4 linked regions of the Arabidopsis thaliana genome follow. The protein of the gene in region 1 interacts with the protein of each later gene in a pairwise test. Each region holds a gene or a part of one and is shown in the gene's direction. Other genes may lie near its edges.

The links.
Region 2: the proteins of DL1 (region 1) and PIN1 interact in a protein complementation assay, tested with the Arabidopsis thaliana proteins (one study listed by BioGRID).
Region 3: the proteins of DL1 (region 1) and HK2 interact in binary tests that used the Arabidopsis thaliana proteins (3 or more experiments, as listed by UniProt).
Region 4: the proteins of DL1 (region 1) and DL3 interact in binary tests that used the Arabidopsis thaliana proteins (3 or more experiments, as listed by UniProt).

What each region holds. Positions count from the first base shown.
Region 1 is NC_003076.8:16,819,193-16,827,360, reverse strand, and holds DL1 (dynamin-like protein), read left to right. Parts: upstream 1-2,344; 5' UTR 2,345-2,824; coding exon 2,825-2,953; intron 2,954-3,320; coding exon 3,321-3,384; intron 3,385-3,480; coding exon 3,481-3,588; intron 3,589-3,675; coding exon 3,676-3,777; intron 3,778-3,861; coding exon 3,862-3,912; intron 3,913-4,037; coding exon 4,038-4,099; intron 4,100-4,272; coding exon 4,273-4,363; intron 4,364-4,458; coding exon 4,459-4,523; intron 4,524-4,720; coding exon 4,721-4,915; intron 4,916-5,167; coding exon 5,168-5,287; intron 5,288-5,355; coding exon 5,356-5,426; intron 5,427-5,565; coding exon 5,566-5,791; coding exon of another isoform or gene 5,792-5,797; exon of another isoform or gene 5,798-5,895; coding exon 5,896-5,946; intron 5,947-6,044; coding exon 6,045-6,273; intron 6,274-6,346; coding exon 6,347-6,486; intron 6,487-6,571; coding exon 6,572-6,700; 3' UTR 6,701-7,077; downstream 7,078-8,168. Other genes in the region: AT5G42090 (Lung seven transmembrane receptor family protein), read right to left, coding at 1-531; AT5G42070 (uncharacterized protein), read left to right, coding at 7,242-7,447, 7,791-8,036. UniProt on the Arabidopsis thaliana protein: Microtubule-associated force-producing protein that is targeted to at the leading edges of the forming cell plate during cytokinesis.
Region 2 is NC_003070.9:27,657,224-27,664,263, forward strand, and holds PIN1 (Auxin efflux carrier family protein), read left to right. Parts: upstream 1-2,449; 5' UTR 2,450-2,548; coding exon 2,549-3,794; intron 3,795-3,946; coding exon 3,947-4,181; intron 4,182-4,369; coding exon 4,370-4,455; intron 4,456-5,105; coding exon 5,106-5,263; intron 5,264-5,359; coding exon 5,360-5,436; intron 5,437-5,586; coding exon 5,587-5,653; 3' UTR 5,654-6,030; downstream 6,031-7,040. UniProt on the Arabidopsis thaliana protein: Acts as a component of the auxin efflux carrier; this activity is enhanced when activated by D6PK-mediated phosphorylation.
Region 3 is NC_003076.8:13,910,565-13,919,466, reverse strand, and holds HK2 (histidine kinase 2), read left to right. Parts: upstream 1-2,661; 5' UTR 2,662-3,129; coding exon 3,130-3,399; intron 3,400-3,496; coding exon 3,497-3,670; intron 3,671-3,775; coding exon 3,776-4,255; intron 4,256-4,335; coding exon 4,336-4,611; intron 4,612-4,695; coding exon 4,696-4,865; intron 4,866-4,970; coding exon 4,971-5,183; intron 5,184-5,276; coding exon 5,277-5,463; intron 5,464-5,534; coding exon 5,535-5,586; intron 5,587-5,664; coding exon 5,665-5,894; intron 5,895-5,988; coding exon 5,989-6,087; intron 6,088-6,173; coding exon 6,174-6,814; intron 6,815-6,900; coding exon 6,901-7,389; intron 7,390-7,474; coding exon 7,475-7,724; 3' UTR 7,725-8,184; downstream 8,185-8,902. Other genes in the region: AT5G35740 (Carbohydrate-binding X8 domain superfamily protein), read left to right, coding at 8,372-8,441, 8,521-8,775, 8,861-8,895. UniProt on the Arabidopsis thaliana protein: Cytokinins (CK) receptor related to bacterial two-component regulators. Functions as a histidine kinase and transmits the stress signal to a downstream MAPK cascade.
Region 4 is NC_003070.9:21,890,954-21,896,523, forward strand, and holds the start of DL3 (dynamin-like 3), read left to right. Parts: upstream 1-2,188; 5' UTR 2,189-2,459; coding exon 2,460-2,600; intron 2,601-3,099; coding exon 3,100-3,150; intron 3,151-3,266; coding exon 3,267-3,387; intron 3,388-3,516; coding exon 3,517-3,609; intron 3,610-3,928; coding exon 3,929-3,990; intron 3,991-4,147; coding exon 4,148-4,265; intron 4,266-4,406; coding exon 4,407-4,743; intron 4,744-5,440; coding exon 5,441-5,570. Other genes in the region: ZCW7, read right to left, coding at 227-368, 444-957. UniProt on the Arabidopsis thaliana protein: Putative microtubule-associated force-producing protein, able to bind and hydrolyze GTP. Collaboratively with DRP1A, participates in clathrin-coated vesicle formation during endocytosis.

The sequences.
Region 1 (8,168 bases):
ATAGACCTTAGGAAGAACAGTTCTTCCAGCAGAGAGATAATCACGACCTCCCTTTTTACCTTCAAGGTTATACATAGCGGATCTAACATCCATACTGATTTTGACCTGTTGGAGACAATTAGCGAAGACGAGAGAGTACTGATCCGCATCGTTCTCGGTGAATACGGTGGAGAATCTGCTCTTATCTCCTCCCTTGAGATTGTTGAAGGTGAACACATGCTTAACGAGATCTGATTGTAGAGCGCACGTGATCTCTTCTTCTTCAAGCTGTTGGATCACATGAACCCAAGCGTCTCTAGTGCAGAGAAAGAAGCCCACTTTGGAGAGATCGAGATCGGGATTGCTGTTGGAAAGCCAGATCTTGGAAGCGTCAAGCTCAAGACGACCGCTGTGAGTGAAACCGAATTCGTCTAAAGGGATGATTGGACGATCATCGGATCGGATCTCTGATTTACGAATCTCAGCCGAAGCTATGGAGATGGAGATCAAGAGAAGGATAAGGATCGATGAGAAGCGTGAAGAGAGATCCATGGGAACTAGGGTTTCGTTCTTCGACTTCACAGAGAGATTAATCTGATCTCAGATGTGAGATCCAAAGCAAAATCAATCCAACTTGTTCTTCTTCCGATGAAAACGGTTGTGTGTGACCAACCAAATTAAATTAGTCTTTTTTTTCTTTCTAAGAAACAAAATAAATACCATTATTTTATTAGCAACAAGAGAACCCATTTTCCTTCATCATTAAGGGAATAAACCATCTTTGACGGATTAGTTGATTTCTAGAAACAAAAATTTCACCAATTCACCGATTCCAACCGAATGGCCGGCGTTTCCAGTGTATTTGAAGGAGTTGTAGAGTGATAGGGAAGAATTCATAAATTTCTCTTTATCTTTAATTTCTCGTAGTGCAAATGTAAAAGCGGATAAGTTGGCACGAAAGATTCGTACCGTACCGCATCATGTCACGTATGTAAACAATATCTCTCGGGATTGGATCTTTTGAGTTCAAATTTATATCGGTTGACAAAAAAAAAAAAAAAAAAAAAAGGAAGAAATTAAAGTATTGATGAATTTCGTTTTGAATTGGTCGGAAATTGGATGTATAAGTTGAGAACAAATTATCCATCAATTTAAATCATAAAATGTTTTTCCGAATGACTTTTTTTTGGAGATGTATTATTTCTAAATGTTTTTACGGTTTCTTTAGATCTCGTTCAGATTGTATCAACAAGCGCGAAACCTTCATTAAACATAAATGGTATACAAAGAAAGCTTAAATACTAAACCGGAGAGATATTATCTATTTATAATAGATTGGTTTGACTGTTTGAGTGTCTATGGTCTAACTCTTGTCCTCTCTACACAACCCGACACTAAACCAACATCTTCCACTCACATATGACGAAAAACATCAGAAAGTAGTAGAAGAGTACTCTTAGAGATTTTGTTCAAGAATCGCAATTCGAAAAAGTTACACTGCAAATAAACCGTGTGACCCGTGCAAGTATATGTGCTTTTGGAAGCTAAATTCATGCAGCTGCTACGGAGACATACAGTCTACATACCTAAATATATTACATAGCATGTCTCACTCCAACCTCATTTGTATTTCATATTAGTCTCAACATATTCCCATAAAGCATATGTTAAACCTATTTTACATCACGTTTTCACTAACTTCAAAATTCTAATTTGAGGGATAGAAGTTGGTCACATGATACATATTTGTTAACGTATGAACATCATAAAATCTAACAATTGATACAAGAGTATGTAGGATACAAAGTTACACGTTGTGTTTGTCTCAAACAACATTAGTAACATTTTTTAAAAAAATTGTGTAGACAAACACAACATTAGTAACATTTAAAAAAAAAAATGTGAACCGGTTTATTTTTTCACCACTTAGCTGGAAAATAAATAACGTGTATTTGCGTAAACAATACATAAGGTTTAAAAATGTGTTAGTGCTATGTTTTATACATTTCTAAAAAGCGTTTGGATCTCACCAACCAAACATAGTATTTGCCAAAATGCAAACGCTATCTAAAATCGATGTGACATTACTAGTCAGATTTAGTGGGTTTGTTCTAGAAAAGATCTTTATTTTATACATTCAAATTTTCAAAACTACAGTTATTTTGTTGTTTAGTGTCATCCTTTTGAATAAACAATCATAATCCTTAACGTCTCTTATCTTTTTTTTGAATCCTCAATCTATGGACCGTTTGAACTGCAATCGTAATGAGGATGTTCGTGGTCCACATGAAATCACTTTACTCTACTAATAAGTGATAGTTTTTTTATTCGAATTTTAACTCGTTACATTCTTTTACAAGAAAATCGACCTTGTTATATTTATTTATATGGTTGGTCATGCATGCAATAGTATTATCATTACTTTACCTGGTTAGAGAGATGTGGAATATTAAGGGATTGGTTGAATATATACGACACACCTCGTCGTTTTTATTTTGTTTTTGGTCAACTCCTCGTCGTCTTTGAATTCTCGAAATAAACACCATGCCGTTTCAAATTTTCTTTGGAAAAGAAAAGACCCTGTATTGGCTTTTATATAAACCGCTTTCTTCCCCTTTACTTTTTCCCAACACTAGCAAGCAAAAATTCTTCATCGACTCAAATTCAAAAACTCATCTCTCTCTATCTCTATTTCTCTGGTTCCATAGCTCACCGTCGCATCGCAGATCTACTCCTTCCGCAATAAATTTTACCGGCGGAGGTATCAGATCTCGCCGATCTGTTGTAGCAGCTACTGTATTTTGGGCTTCTCATTTGATATTGGGGAAACGAGGAGTAGAGGACGATGGAAAATCTGATCTCTCTGGTTAACAAGATACAGAGAGCTTGCACGGCTTTAGGAGACCATGGAGACTCCAGCGCTTTACCTACTCTTTGGGATTCCTTGCCTGCGATCGCCGTCGTTGGTGGTCAGGTTTGCATCTCGATCTCCTTCCCCTTCCATTATATGCTTGACGATCTATCTCACGATTCGTTCGTTTTTTTTGCGATTCGGAATTGATATTGAGCTGAGGTATTCGGATAAATTTGCCCTAAACTTCGTTGTTTTTGCTTATCAACATCCGGATCGTGAGGAATTATAGTTTAATAGCTTCTACTATGAACTAGCTTTGCAAGCAATTGGTATTGAGGAATGTTGACTTGGCTTTGACTTGGATATTTTTTCACTAGTTGGTCTTGAACCATTTAATTTAAGCTACGATTGTTGTGGAGAGGGGTTTCTGTACTTTGATAATTCTATGTGGCATTAAGTTTATGTTGTATCCTTATTGTGTTGACAGAGCTCAGGGAAGTCTTCAGTCCTGGAGAGCATCGTGGGAAAGGACTTTTTACCCCGTGGATCTGGTAAATACAGTGTTAACACTTCTTACTTAGTTTTAATTATGAAATTGCTTATTTCCTTGAGTAATGACAATATGCATTTGCGGTAACTATTTGTAGGCATTGTTACTCGAAGGCCCCTTGTCTTACAGTTGCAAAAGATCGATGATGGAACCCGGGAGTATGCAGAGTTTCTTCACCTCCCGAGGAAAAAGTTTACTGATTTTGGTGGGTTTCGGCTATCTCAATTTGCAGTTCAAGTTTCACCTTCTCCTGTATTCCATTGATATTTGATTAATTTAATCACCTCTATAGCTGCTGTGAGGAAGGAGATTCAAGATGAGACTGACAGAGAGACTGGACGCAGCAAGGCTATTTCTAGTGTTCCCATTCACCTTAGCATATACTCTCCCAATGGTAAGGACAACCCAAAATCTCTTTCCAGTTGTATGTGCTTTTTGTTCATTCTCTAATTTTTTATCCTCTTTACTATGTGTGCAGTTGTCAACTTGACACTGATAGATCTTCCAGGGCTTACAAAAGTTGCTGTTGGTAAGTTACAGTAGAGCAAGAAGTTTTGGTCTATTTTTTCTAGCGATGAAGCATGAGGCAATAGACTTTATTCTCTACCATACATAATTTGGCATGACACGACAAATTTCTTTTGGTTGATGCAGATGGACAATCTGATAGTATAGTGAAGGACATTGAAAACATGGTTCGGTCCTACATTGAAAAGGTAAATGAAAATGCTTACTCCCAGACCCTTTAATGTTTTATAGATAGCTATCGCCAGTTTAAATTAGATTCGGTAATATATAAGTATTCTCCCTATATTTGTTATGTTTTCGTAGCGCCAAATGAGTTGACACTATTCTGTTTTTTTTTTTATTTAATTAAATTTCCTTATAGCCCAACTGCATCATTTTGGCAATCTCACCTGCAAACCAAGATCTTGCTACCTCAGATGCAATTAAAATTTCCCGTGAGGTTGATCCATCGGGTGAGCATTTTACAAACAATTCATTTTTCCACCTAAGAGACCCAACACATTATTCTGTCATCCTATGTCTCTTATAATCTTGGTGATCTTCACAGGGGACAGAACATTTGGTGTCTTGACAAAGATTGATCTTATGGACAAGGGGACGGATGCAGTGGAAGTAAGTTGAATTCCCAGTTTATAGAACATCTGTACTAGAATTTCGAATTACTGTGAATAAAATGTGTTGTAATTAGTCTATGATATGATGTTGGAGCTATAAAATGCTAATTTGTGTAGTAACATCATAATACTTATGTTCCCTCATTAATGTTTATTGCGTGCACCGCTACTTACCAAATGATATTTTTTGCTCAGATTCTGGAAGGGAGATCTTTTAAACTTAAATATCCGTGGGTTGGTGTCGTCAACCGTTCCCAAGCAGATATTAACAAGAATGTCGACATGATTGCGGCTCGGAAAAGAGAGAGGGAGTACTTTTCCAATACTACTGAGTATAGGCACCTTGCTAATAAAATGGGTTCCGAGCATTTGGCAAAGATGCTCTCCAAGGTACGTGCTTTCACGAGGCTAGGGGTAGTTTTCTTCACCAGGTTCTTTATAATAAGTAAGTTGGCGTTGTGAAATTTGTTAGGAGTGGTAAATAAGAGTTTCAGGGCCAGTGTTTTCACGATTGCTGCTAATTTTCTTAGCAGCCGACAGAAAATACTAAGAAACTACGAAGTTATGGCAATGCTTAGCACGTTTCTCTGTATAAAACCATCAGGACAGAGCCTAATTGCAACAATTTTATTTGTTGCGCAGCATCTAGAACGTGTGATCAAGTCGAGAATTCCTGGCATTCAGTCACTTATTAACAAAACAGTATTAGAGCTGGAAACTGAACTAAGTCGCCTTGGAAAGCCTATTGCAGCTGATGCAGGGGTAAATTGTGTATTCTTTTATTTTTGATTGAATTGCGCTATCAAGATTTACTTAATGTTCTGATGCAGGGGAAGTTGTACTCAATAATGGAGATATGTCGGCTTTTTGATCAAATATTCAAAGAGCATCTTGATGGAGTGTACGTTTTGACTCTTTTTACTTCAAATGTTTAAGATTACACCATGAGTTGTTATAGCGTCTGAGTTGATATTTCTACTCTTGACCTTCTGAAACTACAAAAGGAAAATTGTAATTTAAGACTATGGTTGATTACACAGGCGTGCTGGTGGTGAAAAAGTGTACAACGTGTTTGATAACCAGCTTCCTGCGGCTCTGAAGAGACTCCAATTTGACAAGCAGCTAGCGATGGACAACATCCGGAAGCTGGTCACTGAGGCTGATGGTTACCAGCCTCACTTGATTGCTCCTGAGCAAGGTTACCGTCGTCTCATTGAGTCTTCTATTGTCTCCATCAGAGGCCCTGCTGAAGCATCTGTTGACACCGTATGAACTCTTTACTTTCATCTCTAAAAAGATGTATCAAAAACCTAACACAAAACAATAAGCTTCTCTCTCCGTTTTTTTTTTTTTCTATGGTTAAATATTAGGTTCATGCTATCTTAAAGGATCTGGTTCACAAGTCTGTGAATGAAACTGTGGTACGTTCTTTTTTCTTTTAGTAATATATATATATATATATATATCTCCAACAACTAGTACTTTTGTACAATGTTATAGACGGTTTGAACATGTGCAGGAACTAAAACAATACCCAGCTCTGAGAGTGGAGGTGACAAATGCGGCGATAGAGTCGCTGGATAAAATGCGGGAAGGAAGTAAGAAAGCAACACTGCAGCTGGTTGACATGGAGTGCAGTTACCTCACTGTTGATTTCTTCAGGAAACTTCCCCAGGATGTTGAGAAGGGTGGTAACCCCACACACTCCATTTTCGACCGCTACAACGATTCCTATCTCAGACGAATCGGTAAGGTTAACCCATATAAATAAATAATTATCTGGTACCGTATATCTCACAAATTTTAGACATTTGGCAACAGGATCCAATGTTTTGTCTTACGTGAACATGGTCTGTGCTGGCCTGCGGAATTCAATCCCCAAGTCCATCGTATACTGCCAAGTCCGAGAAGCGAAGCGCAGTCTCCTCGACCATTTCTTTGCGGAGCTCGGTACCATGGATGTAAGTGCTCTCTGCCTTTTTTCTTAACCTAAAGAAGTGTCATTCGGGTAAACACTGAGTCAACTAATATGGTGATATCCAACAGATGAAGAGGCTCTCGTCGCTATTGAACGAAGATCCAGCAATCATGGAGAGACGCAGTGCCATCTCAAAGCGGCTAGAATTGTATCGAGCAGCCCAATCCGAGATCGATGCTGTTGCTTGGTCCAAGTGATACCGGCATGTCATGTCCACTGTTTTGCTCGGTTCTGGTCGGTGTGGCTCAGACTCGGAGCAGAGATTTAGGGTCTGTAATTTGTATAAGATGATCTTCCCGATACCATGCAGTATCGTTTTATATAACATCCACATTGTTTGTCCTACCTCTATGTTTTTTGTCCATCACCCGATATGTTACGTATCGTTTTATAACATCCACATTGTTTGTCCTGCCTCTAATGTTTTTTGTCCATCACCCGATATGTTACGTATCTTTTATAACATCCACATAGATTAGATTTTCTCTATTCCCTTTATTTAATTACTATAAAATGTATTTTTCGCATATGATAATTTTTCTGTAACAATAGTATAATATTAAACATTCTACCCAAAAAAAGAGTATAATATTTAAATATGATTACCAATAAGAAAAAAATTCTAATAGTTTAAAATAAAAATTTGTAATGTACTCTTTTTTATTTTGTTTTGCGTTTCTGAATTTGTGGCCATTATCTTCTCACACTCTCTTCTCTTAGCTCACAGAGGAAAGAAAAATGGCGAATTCCATTTCATCAATATCTCTGCCTCGATGTTTCATCTTCAACAATGGTAGTCACAAATCAAGGCCATGGCCAAGCTCAAGCAGTTTCTTTCTCAACAAATCATCAAAGCATCATCCTCATCCACTACTCTCTCTTTCTTCTTCGCCGTCTTCCGTCGTAGAAACTGATAATGACGACGACAACGACCTCACTTTCAGGTACCCTTTTGCTTCTCTTCATCGATTCCATTGGAAAGCTTAAACCTTTCTCAGCTAATCCAATTTCGTTGACATTAAGGATTTTAGAGTTAGTGATAGATTAGGGATTGCGTAAATGATGAAATCATAGAGACTCTTTTCTGCTGTTAACTTGTTAGTGTTATATGAATCTTCAATTTTGTTACACTAGTGAATCTCTTAAAATGATTCTCTACAATAACTAACCTCATAAATTTCTTTGTGGTCTCATGTTGGCTTGAGCGATTGGTTATATTGTCATTTGTGAATTGTGATGGATCCATCTCTCTATAGTCAATAGATCATAACATGAGGAATGAAACAGTGGTTGCAGAGCGTGTGGGAAAGAAGAGAAAGAGAGTGGGTGTAATGGTGACGGACGGATTCAAGGTGGCATTGCAACTGTCCCCGGTTTCGGTTGGTGGCCAATTAAGGCTTACAGGCCTTGTCCCGCGTTTGTTGAGGCCGGAGGTAGATACCGCCGCATAGGGCAGAGCATGGACGAGGTTGCATTTGGTCGTGGTGACTCTAAATCCTCCACTTCTGTAGACACCAGTGATTCACTACTACGGTATGTTAATGCCTAGTATTATTTATATACACTTACAATCAACAATGAAACAAATTGGACCGCAACAAAAACCGTCTTTTGGCATGTACAAGAATGTCAAAATGGGTTTGAGAACCTTGCAGAGTAATGATG
Region 2 (7,040 bases), on another chromosome or scaffold:
TAGAGAAGCCAAGCAAAGATATAAAAAATACAATGGGAGGCTTCCACCGTAGACAGTCCAATGATCATCTACATTTCGACCATTAACCAGTAACGACTAACGAGAATCAATATCAAATATTTTCTTAAACTCGGCAACCATTAATCTTCTGTTGATAAACTTTAAAAAAATTCATTATAGTAATCTTTTTATTTATCTTTTAGCCAATAAAAAGATTAGTCAAATTTGTAAATTATTCCATTGGCGTTGTCGCCAAAGTTTCATTTCAAAACCACATAGTTAGTTTATACTTCTTATTAAAAAAGAATTATGAGTTCGAGCGATTTTGTTAACTAGTGATATTTCGGTCTATATAAATTTTGAAGAAAACCCAAAAGAAAGCATAATTTGATGCAAAACATGTATCCACTTATCATTCCCATTGATTAACGTATTTATTGAGATTAGTTTGTCGACTTTTAGTATCAGCCATAAGACTCACTTTATGTATATTAAAGCAGGTCAATATAGATCATAAAGTGTTAATTAGTCAAAATTTGCTTTATTAAACCAAACTATCTTACTCTCTTTTCCATTTTTCCCGTTTCAAGTGTTTGCTAAAAGATCAATTTTAATTTTCTCGTTTCAAGTATTTGCTAAAAGGTCATCCATCACCCATAACCATAAGTCAAGCCGTGCAAACATAGAGTATTAGAAAAAACGTTAATTTGAGTTCAATATTACACAAAGTCGCAGTTGTAACAAGGATTTGCACAACAAAAGATTGAAAGATTAATGGATTAGTGACAAATAATTTGAAAGATCCAAAATATCATTAACTATATGGAATGTGAAAAAATCCTGCAATTTTTTTTTTTTTTTTGCCGTGTTAAAAATTCAATTCTTTCAAAGAACCAATTTTAAAATTATTTGTCAGTAAAAAAAAATAGAAACTACTTGATTTATAATTTTTAATAGAAAAATGATGTTAAGTCATCAACTCTTTTATTTTTTCGTAACTTCTCAACATATTTACTTTATTCGGATTGCATAACCTACTTTTTTTGTGTGTATAGTCTCTTTAAGCGCAAGAAATGGCAAGGAAAGTCGAATTATATTAGTACTATATATTATTATTATGCTTAAAAAAAAGTTGAAAACATTGGAAAAATAAAAAGCTGGAAAGAAAAAAAAAAGAAGAACTGTGTTTGTATGGGATGATGAGAAAAATGAAGAGCAGACTGTTGATGGAATATTGTGTTTCCTCAAATATCAACACTCCTCATTATATCATCAACCCATTGCTTTTTGTACGGACTTTATTAGTAGTATTAAAGAACACATCAGACTGATTTGTGTAAGCAAACCAGAACCACCCTCTTTTCAACATTTTTCTTTCAAAAAACTTCTACGTATTTATGTTCAATAAAACTTTGTTACTAATTTTCTCAACGAAATATATTTTATAAAACTTTGTTAGTAATGTTATACAGTAAACAGTAAAAGAAAATAAGTTCCAAGATGAGCGATCAAAGGATTGAATAGTTCATAAATAATTCGTATGCGCAACTACAACTGTAAATGATAACCTATGCAATGATAACTCACACACACCCATCTCACATGAAAAAGTGATTTCGACCTTATGTTAGTGATATCACATCTTTTCTTTTATCTCCACCCACAAAGTCTTTGGTTAGGAACTAGTTTGTTCAATTGCAACCATTTTTCCAAAGACTTTCAACCTCTCTTCGGAGAAGACTTCTATCTTTAAAACCAAAATTTTCTAAGTTCATATAAACATCAAATCGAGCCTTATATCATCACTTCAATGTGTATTTATCTTCTGTTGTGATTTATCAATTGAAAGTCAATACCAAAAATCCCATCATACTAATCACAATAATTTATAGCAAAAATAAATTTAACAATTTTTAAACATGGTAAAAATATAAATTTAATAATTAGTATAGGGGATAAATTGATCAACCGAATAGATTAATTCATAATTTGAAAAGGCCAAAAAAAAAAGAGAGAGGCAAAAACAGAGGCTCTGCTTTGGACTCCGCAAAGCGCACAAGGCCGCCTCTTTCACTATCCCCAAAGCTCCACCACGCACCCATCAACCACCATTTTTATTTCGTTTTTATTACATTCAAAAAAACTTCTTTTTGTCGTATTTCAATCAAAATTACATCACACACACTATTATGTTGGAATGTTTAACAAAACAAATAAATATGTTGAGCTATTCCAATTTTACATTTAATGTTTTTTTACTCCTACACGTAAACTACTTTTGAATATAATATCTAGAAACTAACCAAATAATCGAAAACGAAAATAATAAAATCAGCAAACAGTTTTAGCTTCATTAACAAAATATATATATGTTTAATTAAAAAATATGGTATTTTCTCAACGGACAAAAAAATAAAATAAAAAGAATATAAAAATGTGGTCTCTTCTCAACACTCACTTTACTCTTTTTTCCCTCTTCACCACTTCTCTCTCAAACTAAAGACAAAAGCTCTTCTCTCTTCCCTCTCTCTTCTCCGGCGAACAAAAGATGATTACGGCGGCGGACTTCTACCACGTTATGACGGCTATGGTTCCGTTATACGTAGCTATGATCCTCGCTTACGGCTCTGTCAAATGGTGGAAAATCTTCACACCAGACCAATGCTCCGGCATAAACCGTTTCGTCGCTCTCTTCGCCGTTCCTCTCCTCTCTTTCCACTTCATCGCCGCTAACAACCCTTACGCCATGAACCTCCGTTTCCTCGCCGCAGATTCTCTCCAGAAAGTCATTGTCCTCTCTCTCCTCTTCCTCTGGTGCAAACTCAGCCGCAACGGTTCTTTAGATTGGACCATAACTCTCTTCTCTCTCTCGACACTCCCCAACACTCTAGTCATGGGGATACCTCTTCTCAAAGGCATGTATGGTAATTTCTCCGGCGACCTCATGGTTCAAATCGTTGTTCTTCAGTGTATCATTTGGTACACACTCATGCTCTTTCTCTTTGAGTACCGTGGAGCTAAGCTTTTGATCTCCGAGCAGTTTCCAGACACAGCAGGATCTATTGTTTCGATTCATGTTGATTCCGACATTATGTCTTTAGATGGAAGACAACCTTTGGAAACTGAAGCTGAGATTAAAGAAGATGGGAAGCTTCATGTTACTGTTCGTCGTTCTAATGCTTCAAGGTCTGATATTTACTCGAGAAGGTCTCAAGGCTTATCTGCGACACCTAGACCTTCGAATCTAACCAACGCTGAGATATATTCGCTTCAGAGTTCAAGAAACCCAACGCCACGTGGCTCTAGTTTTAATCATACTGATTTTTACTCGATGATGGCTTCTGGTGGTGGTCGGAACTCTAACTTTGGTCCTGGAGAAGCTGTGTTTGGTTCTAAAGGTCCTACTCCGAGACCTTCCAACTACGAAGAAGACGGTGGTCCTGCTAAACCGACGGCTGCTGGAACTGCTGCTGGAGCTGGGAGGTTTCATTATCAATCTGGAGGAAGTGGTGGCGGTGGAGGAGCGCATTATCCGGCGCCGAACCCAGGGATGTTTTCGCCCAACACTGGCGGTGGTGGAGGCACGGCGGCGAAAGGAAACGCTCCGGTGGTTGGTGGGAAAAGACAAGACGGAAACGGAAGAGATCTTCACATGTTTGTGTGGAGCTCAAGTGCTTCGCCGGTCTCAGATGTGTTCGGCGGTGGAGGAGGAAACCACCACGCCGATTACTCCACCGCTACGAACGATCATCAAAAGGACGTTAAGATCTCTGTACCTCAGGGGAATAGTAACGGTATAGTCCCTCTATAACTTTGTTGTTTTGTTTTCGCACCCTAATTTATTTTCTTTACAAAAACACCCCCAAAATTTCTCTATGTCCTTCGATATTTATGATTTGGTTAAGGGGTTCTTTAATTGTTTACATGTGTTGTTGCCTTACTTTAGACAACCAGTACGTGGAGAGGGAAGAGTTTAGTTTCGGTAACAAAGACGATGATAGCAAAGTATTGGCAACGGACGGTGGGAACAACATAAGCAACAAAACGACGCAGGCTAAGGTGATGCCACCAACAAGTGTGATGACAAGACTCATTCTCATTATGGTTTGGAGGAAACTTATTCGTAATCCCAACTCTTACTCCAGTTTATTCGGCATCACCTGGTCCCTCATTTCCTTCAAGTACTGTTTCAAACTTGTCTTATTTTCACTTTACTTTGGTTTTGGTCTACTATTTTAACCACTTTCTTGATGCATAAAGGGTCAGCCTTGAATGCGTATATGTTTGAAAGTTTTTTCTGATAGATTGAAGTAACAAAAGATTTGAGAAAGATCTCTTTATTGGAATTAAATTGATGTGGTCTGTGCAGGTGGAACATTGAAATGCCAGCTCTTATAGCAAAGTCTATCTCCATACTCTCAGATGCAGGTCTAGGCATGGCTATGTTCAGTCTTGGTCAGTTCCTTTTTCTCTTTTCTTTTATTTTTACCTCTTTTCATTTATTACATAATTAAATACCATAAAACAGTCAATTGTTCTCTTTATTTCTGACCTTCATTCTTTATGGTGTTTTTTAAATTTTAAATGATTTTAAGAAAAAAAACAAATCATGTGGAAGCATGATTCTCTCTGTTTTCTTTTTCTTTGAAGTTTTTTTGAAACATGTTTGTATCAAAAAAGCAAACAAAACTGGCTTCACAGCAGAAAGCATGCTCCACAGTTCTCTGCTTATCATCATAACATGTCTCTCCCTTGAATAGGAGGAACCATTTTTTATTTTCTCTTAAAGCAACAAACAATTTTTTTATACCTAATATTGACCCCCTTATCGATGAAAAAACTTTCTTTTTTACCTTGTTTATGTTTCAGTAGACTTCCATCAACTGATTATAAAATTTGTGCTTAATCATGACTTTATGGAATGAATAGTTTAGGATAACGATAATGATGATGTTAATGTTGTGGTGGTGGATCAGTGGCTGTGATGATTATTTTTATGTCACTCTTTTGCAGCTAAAAACAGTGTATAAACTTAAATTAACCAAAAAGCAAAACAATAATAAATTATTTGTTTAAATTTGTGGCTTTTTTTGGATGTGTTAAAGGGTTGTTCATGGCGTTAAACCCAAGAATAATAGCTTGTGGAAACAGAAGAGCAGCTTTTGCGGCGGCTATGAGATTTGTCGTTGGACCTGCCGTCATGCTCGTTGCTTCTTATGCCGTTGGCCTCCGTGGCGTCCTCCTCCATGTTGCCATTATCCAGGTAGTTTTTATTTGCATGATCAAATATGAAACACTTCTGTTGTGTCTACTGTCGTTTATACGATTTCTAACCATTATTTTTATTGACAACAAACAGGCAGCTTTGCCGCAAGGAATAGTACCGTTTGTGTTTGCCAAAGAGTATAATGTGCATCCTGACATTCTTAGCACTGCGTAAGTTTATTAATCTATTAAATAGTTTTGTTGTTATAACAATAAATTTTGTTGTAGAAAAAAAGTTAGGTTGGTTTTGCCTACATTAATTATGATTAGGTGTATATATAAATATATTTTTGTTAACGTGAGTTCTGATTTTTGTTGCAGGGTGATATTTGGGATGTTGATCGCGTTGCCCATAACTCTTCTCTACTACATTCTCTTGGGTCTATGAAGAGATATTACCAAAACACAGGGACTTTGTTTTATTCTTTTGTGGGATGATGAATTGTGAAAAGAACAATGCCCTTTTTGTTGAAAACCCACAAATTAAATCAGAAGCAGCTTTAGAGAATCTTTGAGGATAATTGAAGCTCTTGAAGAAGAGAAGAAGAAGGAGACTTAAGTAGGAGCTCAGCAAGTTTTACCTTTTTCTTAATTTTAATGAACATTCGTGTTTCCTCTTTTGGTAGGTTTTAGGAATTTGTAAAAGCTTTGGCTACTTTTAGTGAATTAAAAACGTTAAGGAAAATATCAAATTTTGTGTGCATGCTAAAAGTGAATTGGTGTGTATAGGTCTAAATCTCACCAAAATAAGAAGTGTTTTAGCCATTTCAAAAGTTAAGTTCACTTAACATTTCTATGTTTCGTTTGCCTAAATGTGAAAAATCAGAAACTAAAACAGTAAAGTACATCTTCCACAAAATGTTTGAGAAAGGGATTTCTACGGGGGATTTGGGAAAATTTAAAACGTAGTCATGAATATTAGAAACTTTACAATAGCTTAGGTGGGAAGGTATGAAATAGCATGTGACTATAACAACACAGACGACACGAGTATTGGATTCAACAGAACACTCGATTAAATATGTAGAAGATAGGGGACTTGGTGCATGCGTTACGTTATTCGACTTGGTCAAGATTCCTCTTCACTGCGTTTGTGGAATCTTGAAAGATTCGTTTAGTGTTGTCAATTGTGTATCCTTTTACCGATTCTTCTCAGAATCATTACATACCACTTAGATGCTGATGCTTTTTATGAATAAAAACAAACCTTCATATTTATACGACGATCTTATATAATGATAAATCAAATGTATAATACTTAACTTGGTTTGAATTGTACTCTCGACATGAAAATCATTTAATTGCTAAAAATATTGGCTTGATTTAAATATGTGGAATGATGAATTTTTATTTATTTTAGTTACCAAATGAATTTATTAGAAAGTGAAATGACTGTATACAAAACAAAAATAAAAATAAAATTGATAGTAATAAATATATGAAGGCGTAATAATTAGAATGAGGAAAATAGTTAAAGAAAGCGACCCTAAATTTATGGCACGCCTCACCCTCACGTAAAAAAAAACCATCATTTTATTCTGCATGAGACGGCTGTAGCCGCCGTTGCATTCTTCAAATTTTCAATGTTTCCAATTAATAAAACTATTATTATAGCTCGATTTGTAAATATTTAAGCCTGCAATTCACATTGTTCAAATTCATAAAATAAAAAAAAACAAAAGTAATGGGTGAGGAATAAAAAGAAGAATGAGACAAGAGAGAAGAAGAAGACGCCGTGTCACTTCGCTTTCCTACTACAACACCAACATTTCTCA
Region 3 (8,902 bases), 2.9 Mb from region 1:
AAAATAAACAAATAAAATGCCACATTTATTTCTGAATTACTCAGTATTTATTTTTATTTAGCGTTTTAAGACTTTTGTTTTGGAAAGAAAACTCATCAATAACATTTATGGAAAATTTTGTTTGTTTTTCCTTTACATTAACTACTAAATCTTGTTTGTACTGAAATTGTTTCTTAAATGAGCAATATATATATATATATATATATATATATATATATATATATATATATTATTTTTCTTAACATTCAAAAAAAATCTCAAAAATAGAATGTGTGAGACTACAATTTTAGAATATGTCTTAAGCCTCTATTGACTTTGGCACGATACTGTATAAGGGTTTAGATATTGGAGTCAAACAAAAAAAAATCAAATCAAATATTTCATCCAACTCTAACTAAATAGGCATGACTAATGCAAACACAATTTAATAAAAGTTATAGGGTCATCTTTGTCTTTGCTTCGTTGGTCATCTTGAGAACACGGTAAGATCACCTCAAAATATACAATTTTGGTCAATTTCATGTATTATGTCTGGTTTCAATTTGGGTGTAGACACAATACTACAATAGCGATTCCATTACAAACACTTTAACGAAAAAATCAACTTTATTTTCTTCAATTTATTTAATTTAAGCACATATATATATATATATATATATATAAATCCTGGTTTTCTATCCTACTATATTATTTGGGAAGTACATTTTAAATATAACCTTATTTTTTGTAAGTAATTACATATGTATGCCATTAGAAATAAAATTTTAAAGAGTAAATTAATTCATTTCTTTAAAAATTAAAAAGTCAATTTAATTAATTAAATTTAACTCAAAAACGAAATACATTATTAATTTCCAAAAAAGTAACCAATTAAAATCAACAAATTAGATTTGATATCTAAATTATCATATTAATTTTTTATTAATTATTATAGTTCACCTCTCATCTTTATATGATTTTATTTTTGCAAAAAAATAATATCATCGTTATAAAAAAATAATTAGAGTTTTTTTCGCATATGCCACAATTTAAATTTAAAAAAAACAAATATAAACTGTTCAATACATGAAAAAATACTATAACGGGTCAAAAGTAGATTTAAAAAAAAATTTTACTGAGTACTGTGTTATAATTTGAATATTTATATTCAATTTCATACATATTATTTTAAAATTTATAATTTTATATACTAAAATAATTAATAACATATTAGATTTTTTAATGTGTATGATGTGATTCAATTTTTAATACAAGTTGGAAAATCCTAGAATTGACGGGTTTAAATCAATATTAATACAAGATGGTATAGTACAGGTGAAACTCTAAAATTAACAATCAAAATACAAGTATATAATTTTAAACATTAAACAATATAAATAATATCAACAAAACATATACAACTAGCAGTTTACTATACATTTAAAATCAAATAAAATAATATCATATATTTGTAATCAACTTTACAATAAAAGTTTTTAGTTTAACTAAAATATAAGCCTACCTGCTGTATAATGCAAGTTAAAATTATAAATAAGCAGATTACCATCACGATGGATGTACCTTCTCACATACACACCTATCAAAAACTTAAAACCTTTCAAAACCTCTTGGTATATTCAAATTAGGATTCTTCATTCATAGAATCATTATTCCAAGGGTTTTGGGATGTCTTATGAAATGATTTTGGCAGAAGAGGATGTAAATTTTTTTGAATAAAAGGTATTCAACAAAACATATGTTTTATTGGGATTTTTTAGATAATTAAATCAGAGAATAGGGCTGGGCATATGAGTAACCCATTCGAGTTCGGGTAGAACCCGTTCGGGTTTGGGATTAATGGGTATATGATTTACTACCTAATAGAATAATTCTAAATATTCGGTTCGGGTCGGGTCCAGTTGGGTTTGGGTCAGTTTGGATAAAAAGTTTCAGGCCCTAAAAATACTCAAAAAAATAGAAACGAGTATTTTGTATGTAGATAGTGCGTCTCTAAACAAAAAAAACTTTTAAATTTATTAAGTTTTAATAAATTTAATTATATTTGAATATATTTTACTAAATTTTGACAAATATAACAAATAATTTTGATAAACATAACAAACATAACAAAGTATACAATGTAATTTATACAAAATATTAATGCCCGTGCTATACAGCACGGGTTATGATCTAGTCCTAATATATTTTCAAAGTCAAATACAATTTTAAACAGAACTTCTTACATAAAAATAATCAGAATCATAAATGTAACTGGGAGACAAAGATACATAAACTGATAAAAAGAAATAAGATGTACATATAGAATCAAATCAATACCCACTTCTCGTAAAACCCACTCATCGTTATATTTTATACAAGATAAGATAAGACTTAAGAGTAGATGTTAAACTATGCTAATGAAGCAATTTAAAAACACCAAAAAGACCAAACAAAAAACAAATAACAATGAGTAGGTTTTAGGAGAAGCATGTATTGATTCTTGGTATAGTTGAGTTTATTTATATTTTCATTAGCCAATCACTTTTTCTAATTTAACTAAAAATGTTATAATACCTTCCCCACCTAGATGATGAGATAATCATGGACCCAAAAACCTCAGTTTTTAAAAATGTTTATTCACCAAAAGACAAAAACAATAATAATAATCAAAAGTAGAGTAAAAGAAGAGAGAAGTGACATTCTTTTTCTTTAGCTCATAATTTCTCTAACAAATGCTTCTTTTATCCAAACTCTGATCATTGAGTCCAGTTGGGTAATGAGAGACACCAGCTGGGTTTCTTTTGTTTAAGCTCACAAACATCTAAAACAGAGAAAGCTTTGTCATTTTTCTTTACCCTGAAACCATGAAAGAAGATAAAGCTTTGTCCTTTTTCTCTTTTCCGTTTCTTTACTCTCAACAATGTCTTCTTTCTCCCATTGCAACAACCACTGGGTTTGGTTCATCTTGTCCTCTTGCGTCTTAAGTAAGAAAAAAGAAAAAAGCTTTGCGTTTGGGACTATGTCACAGCTTCTTGTTCTTCTTGTGGATGGTTTCAAGAACTCAACTATGAGATTGTTGTTGATAGAGTTTTAGTTTTGGGTTTGAAGAGATCTGAATTTCTTCAGCTGAATCTGAGATTAGGAGTCGAAATGTCTATAACTTGTGAGCTCTTGAATCTTACTTCAAAGAAAGCTAAGAAGTCGTCGAGCAGTGACAAGAAATGGCTAAAGAAGCCTCTCTTCTTCCTGATTTTGTGTGGCTCTTTGGTAATTGTTTTGGTTATGTTCTTACGGTTAGGTAGAAGTCAGAAGGAGGAGACAGATTCTTGTAATGGAGAAGAGAAAGTGTTGTATAGACATCAAAATGTCACAAGAAGTGAGATTCATGATTTGGTCTCTTTGTTCTCTGATTCAGATCAGGTAATTGCATGAATTGACTTGTATTTGTTGAAATTGAGCTTTTGAATACGCACCAGATTTGCCTTAAAGTGTAACAGTTTCTCTGTATTTGTTGTAGGTAACATCCTTTGAATGTCATAAGGAATCAAGCCCTGGAATGTGGACAAACTATGGTATTACATGTTCCCTGAGTGTGCGTTCTGATAAACAAGAGACTAGAGGGCTTCCCTGGAATCTTGGCTTAGGACATTCTATCTCATCAACATCTTGTATGTGTGGTAATCTTGAACCGGTAAGATAATATTCGATTCGACAACATGTGAAGGAAATGCTTTAAGATTTGGTGTTTAGCTAGTTCTCACAAAAGTTTATTGTGAATGTGTTTGGTTATGAGTAGATTTTACAGCAACCTGAAAACCTTGAGGAAGAAAACCATGAAGAAGGGCTGGAGCAGGGTTTGTCATCGTATTTAAGAAATGCATGGTGGTGTCTAATCCTTGGTGTGTTAGTGTGCCATAAGATTTATGTATCTCATTCTAAAGCACGAGGTGAGAGGAAAGAGAAAGTACATCTGCAAGAGGCTTTAGCTCCAAAGAAGCAGCAACAACGTGCTCAGACTTCTTCTAGAGGGGCTGGAAGATGGAGGAAGAATATCCTTCTCCTTGGTATTTTAGGAGGAGTTTCCTTCTCTGTTTGGTGGTTTTGGGACACTAATGAGGAGATCATAATGAAAAGGAGGGAGACTTTGGCAAACATGTGTGACGAACGAGCACGTGTTTTACAAGATCAGTTCAATGTTAGCTTGAACCATGTTCATGCCTTGTCTATTCTTGTATCTACATTTCATCATGGTAAAATCCCATCTGCCATTGATCAGGTGATGTTTTTTTCTTACTGCTAAATACATTTTGTGTCTCAAGTTTATGTTTAAATCATCAACTTCTGTTACATTTACAGAGAACATTTGAAGAATATACTGAGAGAACAAACTTTGAGAGGCCACTTACTAGTGGTGTAGCGTATGCTTTGAAAGTCCCACACTCAGAAAGAGAGAAATTTGAAAAGGAGCATGGATGGGCAATAAAGAAAATGGAAACTGAGGACCAGACAGTTGTACAAGATTGTGTTCCTGAAAACTTTGATCCCGCACCGATTCAAGACGAATACGCGCCAGTTATATTTGCTCAAGAAACTGTTTCCCATATTGTATCGGTCGACATGATGTCTGGAGAAGTCAGTAACGTCTAAAAGTTTCTTGAACTATTTTGCCAAACCAATGTCCTTAAAAGAGAATTCAAAAGTCTAACTATTTTGCAGGAAGACCGTGAAAACATCTTACGGGCAAGGGCATCAGGAAAAGGAGTGTTAACATCTCCATTTAAGCTTCTTAAGTCAAATCATCTTGGTGTTGTGTTGACCTTTGCTGTCTATGACACGAGCCTACCGCCTGATGCTACAGAAGAACAGCGTGTTGAAGCAACTATTGGGTACTACTTCTACTTAAAATGATTCTAGGACTGAAGAAATTGAACCTATGTAACAAAGAATGATCTCTGGACCAGAAAATATTAATAAGATACACTTAAAAACAGGTACCTTGGTGCATCATATGATATGCCATCGCTGGTGGAGAAACTTCTTCACCAACTTGCCAGCAAACAGACAATTGCTGTGGATGTTTACGACACAACTAACACTTCAGGTCTAATAAAAATGTATGGCTCAGAAATTGGGGATATAAGTGAGCAGCATATAAGTAGCCTTGATTTTGGTGATCCATCAAGGAACCATGAGATGCATTGCAGGTTAGTTAGCTCTAACTGTTATGGTACATTTTTATAAGATATGTTTCACTTCTCTGTTTTCTGAAGTATGAAAGTGGCATTTTTCATTTACAGGTTTAAGCATAAACTTCCCATTCCCTGGACAGCGATAACACCGTCGATCTTAGTTCTGGTTATTACTTTTCTTGTTGGTTATATTTTATATGAAGCCATCAACCGAATTGCGACAGTTGAAGAGGATTGTCAGAAGATGAGGGAACTCAAAGCTCGTGCTGAGGCCGCTGACATTGCAAAGTCACAGGTGATCTTTGTGAATCATATAGTCTCAAAAGCTTTACTTGTTTTTTCACTGAAATGCTTCTTATTTTGCAGTTCCTAGCAACTGTTTCTCATGAGATACGGACTCCGATGAATGGAGTTTTAGGTACTTTTTCTACTTATCCTTGGTCAATATTGCATGTTCTCTTAAAATCAGCTGAAACGTTTAAGCATTTTGTTACAGGAATGCTGAAAATGCTGATGGACACCGATCTTGATGCGAAGCAGATGGACTATGCGCAAACTGCTCATGGCAGTGGGAAGGATCTTACATCACTAATAAATGAGGTTCTTGATCAGGCAAAGATTGAATCCGGAAGGCTCGAGCTTGAAAATGTGCCTTTTGATATGCGTTTTATTCTTGATAATGTTTCATCTCTCCTCTCTGGCAAGGCAAATGAAAAAGGAATTGAGGTATAATTATAAACTGCATGACCTTCTACTTTCTTAATGTTTTCATATGGCAAACAAATTCCATATGTAATGAAATGTTGACTTCTTGTTACAGTTGGCCGTTTATGTTTCTAGTCAAGTTCCTGATGTTGTAGTCGGTGATCCGAGTCGGTTCCGGCAGATCATTACAAACCTGGTTGGAAACTCAATCAAAGTAATTTACTCCTTACTTCTTACAGAACAACAGGCTTCACGAATCTCTACTATTACAGTACTCATTTGTTATTTACTTAATAACAGTTCACACAGGAAAGGGGACACATATTTATCTCAGTGCACCTTGCAGATGAGGTAAAGGAGCCTCTTACTATTGAAGACGCAGTGCTAAAACAGCGACTAGCTTTAGGATGCAGCGAGTCCGGTGAGACAGTTAGCGGGTTTCCTGCGGTAAATGCATGGGGAAGCTGGAAGAATTTCAAGACATGTTACAGTACTGAGAGTCAGAATTCTGATCAAATCAAATTGCTAGTTACAGTGGAGGACACTGGAGTTGGCATACCTGTGGATGCACAAGGCCGAATCTTCACACCTTTTATGCAAGCCGACAGTTCCACATCGCGGACTTATGGTGGAACTGGCATAGGTTTGAGTATAAGCAAACGTTTGGTTGAACTCATGCAAGGAGAGATGGGGTTTGTGAGTGAGCCCGGGATAGGCAGTACTTTTTCATTTACTGGAGTTTTCGGGAAAGCAGAAACAAATACGTCGATTACTAAGCTGGAACGATTCGATCTAGCTATTCAGGAGTTTACAGGATTGAGAGCATTAGTTATTGATAACAGAAACATTAGAGCAGAGGTCACCAGGTACGAACTTCGGAGACTGGGAATATCTGCAGACATTGTTTCAAGTCTGAGAATGGCATGCACTTGTTGTATCAGGTACTTTACGTACATTAGTGTCTGTCTGTCTTTAGAGATTATAGTGAGTTCACTAAAAGCGTTTTATTGTTCTGGAATCTTTGCAGCAAATTAGAAAATTTGGCTATGATTCTAATAGACAAAGACGCCTGGAACAAGGAAGAATTTTCAGTACTTGACGAGTTGTTTACCCGAAGCAAAGTAACCTTTACAAGAGTCCCAAAGATTTTTCTTTTGGCAACTTCTGCAACTCTTACTGAGCGCAGTGAGATGAAGTCTACTGGTCTCATCGATGAGGTGGTGATAAAGCCTCTTCGGATGAGTGTCTTAATATGTTGCTTGCAAGAAACCCTTGTCAATGGCAAGAAGAGGCAACCGAACAGACAGCGAAGAAATCTTGGACACTTGCTAAGAGAAAAACAGATTCTGGTTGTGGATGATAATCTTGTGAACAGACGAGTTGCAGAAGGTGCACTTAAGAAATATGGAGCTATTGTTACATGCGTTGAGAGTGGCAAAGCTGCATTGGCAATGCTTAAGCCGCCTCATAACTTCGATGCTTGCTTCATGGATCTCCAGATGCCTGAAATGGATGGGTAGATAACTATTTTTCAATCTTATCTCTTCAGCTTGTTCATTTCTTGGATGTCGTCCTTGGTAACTTTATAATTTTTTGCGCAGATTTGAAGCGACAAGGAGAGTCCGTGAGCTGGAGAGGGAAATCAATAAGAAAATAGCTTCTGGAGAAGTTTCAGCTGAAATGTTCTGTAAATTTAGTAGTTGGCACGTCCCGATATTAGCAATGACAGCAGATGTTATTCAGGCTACTCATGAAGAATGCATGAAATGTGGAATGGATGGTTATGTATCAAAACCGTTTGAAGAGGAAGTGCTCTACACAGCGGTAGCAAGATTCTTTGAACCTTGTTAAAAGAAAAAGCCATTTCCCTTGTAGGATTATATATCAACCCGAGAGCTTTTTGACATCGGGTAGTATATCTTGAACATCCATGACCTGCAATTCAACTTGAGATCAAGGCAAGAACCAGTTCATTGTCAATTTTTCTTCACAGGTCTCTTTCAGCTTAAGACCTCGTCTGGTTGAGTGAGAAAAACTGCGAAAACCGATCTTTCTCTTTGTATAGACACTTTGTCTTCATTGATCTCTGCCTGTGTGTATAGTAGATTCCTAGGGTATAGCTCCATTATATTCATTTTATATATATATAAACCCAAACTCTGTCCTCTTAACTATGAAACAGCTTGTATATTGTGTAGTAATAGTAATGGCTCTTGATTACATGATAGGAAGCGTATAAATGACAGTGTGTTCTGAAAAGCTTCCAGAAGCAGAACAAAATCTTCCTCAAAAGTCAAAACCAATGCAGATCTGGCACATGATTGCATCTGAAGCAAACCAAGATTCCCTAGTCATAGATCTTGAACTTTTGGACTAATGATTCTTTCTAACTAGTATAAAGGGTATCAAGTTGCACTCATTTCCTTAGCTCCCAAACTTCCTAACTAGATAGATCAGATCTGGATCTCTCTGCACCACTCATTGCCTTCTCTAGAAACATGTCAACTTTCTTGATAAGGATACTTCTTCCTTTGCTTATCATAGCAATGACTCTTCCTCGACGTTCAGGTAAAAACACCACTGCAATGTTCATACTATGTCCCTTTTTTGGCCTTATGCAGATGTATGTGAGTGTATGTTTAAGCAGAGGCAGAGTCGGAACAATGGTGCATAGCGGATGAACAAACGCCAGACGATGAGTTGCAAGCAGCCTTAGACTGGGCTTGCGGAAAAGGTGGAGCAGACTGCAGCAAAATGCAGCAGGAAAACCAGCCTTGCTTCTTGCCTAACACAATCAGAGATCATGCCTCCTTTGCTTTCAACAGTTACTACCAAACTTATAAAAACAAAGGTGGTTCTTGTTACTTCAAAGGAGCTGCCATGATCACTGAGCTTGACCCCAGTAAGCTTTCTCCTCTCTCTCTTTCTCCCTTGAATCTTAGTAGATAGTGAACCATCTGTTTCTGATCCAGCTATGATTGTGACAGGCCATGGTTCTTGCCAGTATGAGTATAACCCCTGATTCAAAC
Region 4 (5,570 bases), on another chromosome or scaffold:
CTTTTGAACTACATGGACAAATACTGTATACTATGATCAAATGTAGATGCATCAAATCTATCCAAAGCAGCACAAAACTACTTAATTTTCCAATAAGCAAGCCATAGATCACTCTCAACTCACATAGTGTCACATTCTTGAAGCAGATTTATGAATGTTCTCTTCACTCCGATTGAAAAAAAAACAATCCTAATCAAGCTGGACATGAAAGATGACAAAATCTTACCTAATTTTCCCAAAGCTAGAGAAGATTGTATGTGTAACCAACATAGAAGGCTTCGATGAAACTCGTGGCTCAGCAAACCATCTTGATGGCACACCTCTAAGTATAATCGTATCAGCCTCTCTCCTTCCTTCCCTTGAATGTCCTGCAAATCACAATCACATCAATTACCACGAAAAAATCGTAAAATCAAAATCCAAAATTGAAGAACCAAGATTACCAAAAGCGTAAAACTCCTCCCAATCCTTCTTCAACTTCTCGAAATCATCTGAAATCGGAAGTACCACACTAAGCTTATACTTAACTCCTTCCAAATTAAGCTCAATACCATTCATCTTCTCCACCAAACTCTTCCTCCAATCCAAAAACTTCTTCTCCAATTCCTTCACATCTCTCTCTCCATCATTCTCCTTCTTCTTCTTCTTCCCATCGAGAAACCCTAAATCGCGTATAAACAACGATCCATGAGCAACTGGCTCCTCACGCTTCCGTTTCTTCAAGTCCTTGTGACGACGAACTACGATGTCTTCCTCCGGAACTGTGACGGAGGTTACGACAGAGTTTTTGAGGTAATCTATTAAGGATCGCTTGAGTTGCCATTCGTCGATGGATTTGGATACGGATGGGACTACTGGGTGGATTGTGAGATTGAGCTTGACGCGTGAGACGAGAGCGAGACCGTTCTCTTCGATATCTAGAGTTTCTATCGGAGATAGCTCTTCTAACGATCGCATTTTTCGCCGTCGATGCAAAATTCAAAATCGCGATTGGCTCTCTCTCTCAGAGTGTCGTCGGCTATTGAGTACAGAGAACAGGAGGATACTGAAAACAGTGGTAAACCAGAATTCCAAATCGGTTATTTCCGGTTCTCTTGGTTTCCAATATTTTGGGAATAAATTGCATAAACGGTCCAAAATAGAGATAAATTCCAATGTAAATTTTTTGAACATTGACTGAAACCATTAATAAATGTTGAACGTTTCATCCAATGCCTAAATATATATGGTAAGGATTCTTATCTTAGTTATGAGTTTTGGCATACTAGGACTGAAGCATTGCATCCTACTGTGAGTTTTGGTGGTTTGTGCTCTTCTGTTGACCTTAGCAATGCGTCCATATAAATTGAGTATGGTTGGATTACTGTTCATACCTCTAGCGAAACATTGCAATTCGCTAGGTCTCTATTGTGGGGTTAGATGGCATGAACCATTAGTTGCACAAATGAACTCTAATGCATATCATAGAGGCTTGTTTTTGGATATAGTTTACGAAATATTGAGATGATATCTTTCATACAAAAACAAAAAATGCATATGATGATGACACTCTTACATACACTTTTGGTACTATCTATCCGCGTATGATTTTAAGATAATTTTTTTGAGCTTTTACTTTAATTAGAATTTAGTGATATACTTGTATGCACAAATTTATACAAGCAATTTATGAATACGGTATACACAAATTTATATACAAACAGTTAGACCAATACCAAAATTTGGTGATATACTTGCAAACCTAGCATGCTAACGAATTTGATAACTTACATGCCTTATCCCATCTAGCGAAACAAATTAGAGAGATTAAACTGTTGGAGATAAATTTAGAACTCGGTTGATCACAACTCAACATTTCGCACTCAAACATTACAAAAATACTAGTCTCCTACATCAGGATTACAAAGTGGTCTTCCGCATTTGTTCATTTGGAAAAATATACAACCAAACAAGCGCATTCGATGATACAAATTCTTGTACCACATTGAAATTCACTTACAATATTTTAATTCGAACAAATTTAGCTGAGAATGTCTTTATTGATAGCAAAAAGTTGTGTTAATTTATATTTTACGCATCCACATTTGTGTGTTTTATGCTTTCACATTTGTAAAGAATTTCTTTGAACAGTTGTGAAAATTTTCAACATTTATGAAAGAAAAGAAAAAACCACTTAATAATTTTCAACATTTATGAAATTTGAAAAATGTGTTAATTACTACGTGTTTATGTAAAGTTATATGACCCGTCTTGCCCATTCTCTCCCCGACGAAGACACACACAGACAAACAAATCCTAGCTTAGCACCGTCGCGACCGAATTCGAAATTCCGGTAACCCAATCGCCGGGAAAATCCACCGCTCGTGGCTACCGATATTGATTCTAATCGGATCTAGCGGCTCCCTTTCTTCGTCCAGATCTCGTACTTCATTCGACCTCGATTCGCTGTGCAAGTTACGATGGAGGCGATCGATGAGTTGTCTCAGCTTTCGGATTCGATGAGACAAGCGGCGTCTCTGCTCGCTGACGAAGATCCCGATGAGACCTCTTCTTCTAGACGGCCAGCTACTTCTCTCAACGTCGTTGCCCTAGGGAATGTGGTGGGTTTTCTCTCGCTTTTTCTGTTTCTGAGATGTGACTGTATTTGGCGTTTGTTGTAAGTTTTATACTGTGATCGAGTGTAGATTTTTGTTGCCATATCGTGGATCTTGTGGATCTCGATGAGGTGTTTTCGAAATGGTCCCGTAACCTAGGAGTTTGGTAGGATGTTTTGTATTCTTCATCTCTTCGTTCGTAGCTTGTTTTGTTGCGTTTCTCTCTTTATTAGGGATTATTTGATTCTATGAGATTCAAACCTGGGAGGTATTACTATAGTAGAGAAGGTTGATGCGTTTGTTATTTGAAACTATGAGAAATCTATTTTAGAAAGTGTATATCAGAACGAAAAGTGTATGTGATTTACTCTGTTTCCTAAAACACTTATCTGTTGGAAGACAGAAAAAATATTGCTATGTGTTTGTGATTGAAACTTCTTAGGCTTAGAAAAGAAAAATTTCTTATGTGAAGACTGAAGTTATTTCACTTTTCTTGGTGGATCAGGGAGCTGGAAAGTCTGCAGTTCTAAATAGCCTAATTGGGCATCCAGTTCTGGTAAGTTGTGTATTGAATTTGAGTGCGCGGCAATTTGTGTATGTCACTATTGGCTGATACATTTTCTTAAAGTAACCACTTTGTGTTGTCCTGTCTACTATGATTACCATGGATAGCCGACGGGTGAGAATGGTGCGACACGGGCTCCTATTATCATTGATTTGAGTAGAGAAGAATCACTGAGCAGCAAGGCAATAATCTTGCAAATTGACAATAAAAATCAACAAGTTTCTGCAAGTAAGAGCTCCCTATGTGCACATATGCAATTTAGCAATGATTTGTGAAGCTATTTCTGCATGTAAGATGCAATGCATTAGATTAATATTTGACTAATATTTCCGTTTTTTTCGAATGTGTGTATTACAGGTGCACTAAGGCATTCACTACAAGATAGGCTTAGCAAAGGAGCTTCAGGAAGGGGTCGTGATGAAATATACCTAAAACTTCGTACCAGCACAGGTAATTCCTTTCTACTTGCACAATCATAAATGGGAATCCCTATTTAATGCAACATCCATATTACCCAAGCCTAAGTCGGATAATGTCCCCTACTTAAGTGAACAGTTCAGCTGTAATGAGTTTTTACCTCTAAATCTAACGCACATTAGCGCTTCAACTTCTTTTGGGTAGAATCTGAAGCTAAGTTGTGAAAATTGGACTATATATCTAAATGAAGATCTAACTTAAATGTTCTCTTTGGAACATGAATTATCACATATCGTTTGTTTTGTACTGGTTTCTGTAATCATCATAACATATTTTTCCCTTTTAATTGCAGCTCCACCACTGAAATTGATTGATTTGCCTGGACTGGACCAGCGAATTGTGGACGATTCTATGGTAAGCTTAGGAACTGCTTGATGCCTTTGTCATCCCCCTAATCCACCTGTCAACCATGGAGAATTTCCACATTTTTTATTCGGCATTCTGGCTGTAGGGCTTCATAGATTCATTATCATTGTCATCTTATAATTTGTTTCTCTCCTCTCTTTGCAAGATTGGTGAACATGCACAGCACAACGATGCTATATTGCTGGTTGTTGTGCCTGCTAGCCAGGCATCTGAAATTTCGTCATCTCGAGCCCTGAAGATCGCAAAGGAGTATGATCCAGAGAGTGAGTATATAGGCACTTTCGTTATACAGACCCTTCATTATACTTCTAAACAACTGGGGTTACTACATTTGGATAGAAACATTGGAACTAAATTTTGTGTATACTATAACCAAAAAAAAAAACATCACTCCTTATTTATAGGTACTAGGACAGTAGGAATTATCAGCAAAATTGATCAGGCAGCAGAGAACCCAAAGTCCCTTGCAGCAGTTCAGGCGCTTCTTTCAAATCAAGGACCTCCAAAAACAACTGATATTCCATGGGTTGCACTTATTGGCCAATCTGTCTCAATTGCATCAGCGCAGTCTGGAGGCAGTGAGAACTCTTTAGAAACTGCTTGGCGTGCTGAGAGTGAAAGCCTTAAATCCATTTTGACTGGTGCTCCACAAAGCAAACTTGGCAGAATTGCCCTGGTCGACACTCTTGCTAGCCAGATCCGTAGCAGAATGAAGCTCAGGCTTCCGAACATCTTAACTGGGTATTTCCTCTCTCCATATGTTTTTGCTTTTATATGTCAAATGAAAAATCGATTGTTTGTTTGCCTATTTTTCTGTACTGGTACTTTAGGGAAGATTTACAATTTTCTCCATCAAAGCCAATTTGTTTTGTTTCTTTGAAGTTGAAGTCGACCTTTAGGCTTAGTTAGCTAGACTTTCCAGCTCCTATCATCATTAGCGCACTTCTCATGAGATATTTTAGAAACCTTTGTCCTTGTGTCTTTCTAATCAACATATACGGACCAGGTCGAAGCTAAGTTTCTGAAAAGGAAAACAAGATTCATATCTTTAACTGATTGAATAGATGATAATCTACCTAAAAGTCAAGAAATTAAACCTCTATGTTGAATTTGCAATGGAGAGGAACGGTGTTTAGTGAATTGGAATAAACCAAAAGGCAAAGATAAAGCAAAAGGGAAAGTTGCATAAGAGGAAATAGTTATCTGAAATTGGATATGTGCCAGATTTATCTGCCATCGTTACTGAGTTCTGAAAATAAGAACTCTTGCTTGCAAGATCTCTGGTCAATGCTCATCATCATCTGTTAAGCTGATATATTACTTTTGTCTCCCAAAATGTGATGTCTATCTTTTGTTTTAGTTTCTGGATGATTATTTAGGGACATGATTTTGGTTCTTATGATAGTCCTGAACTTACAAATTCCTTTGTTACATGCAGACTCCAGGGTAAGTCTCAAATAGTGCAGGACGAATTAGCGAGGCTTGGTGAGCAATTGGTTAGCAGTGCTGAAGGCACAAGGGCAATAGCTTTGGAGCTTTGTCGTGAGTTTGAAGACAAATTTCTTCTC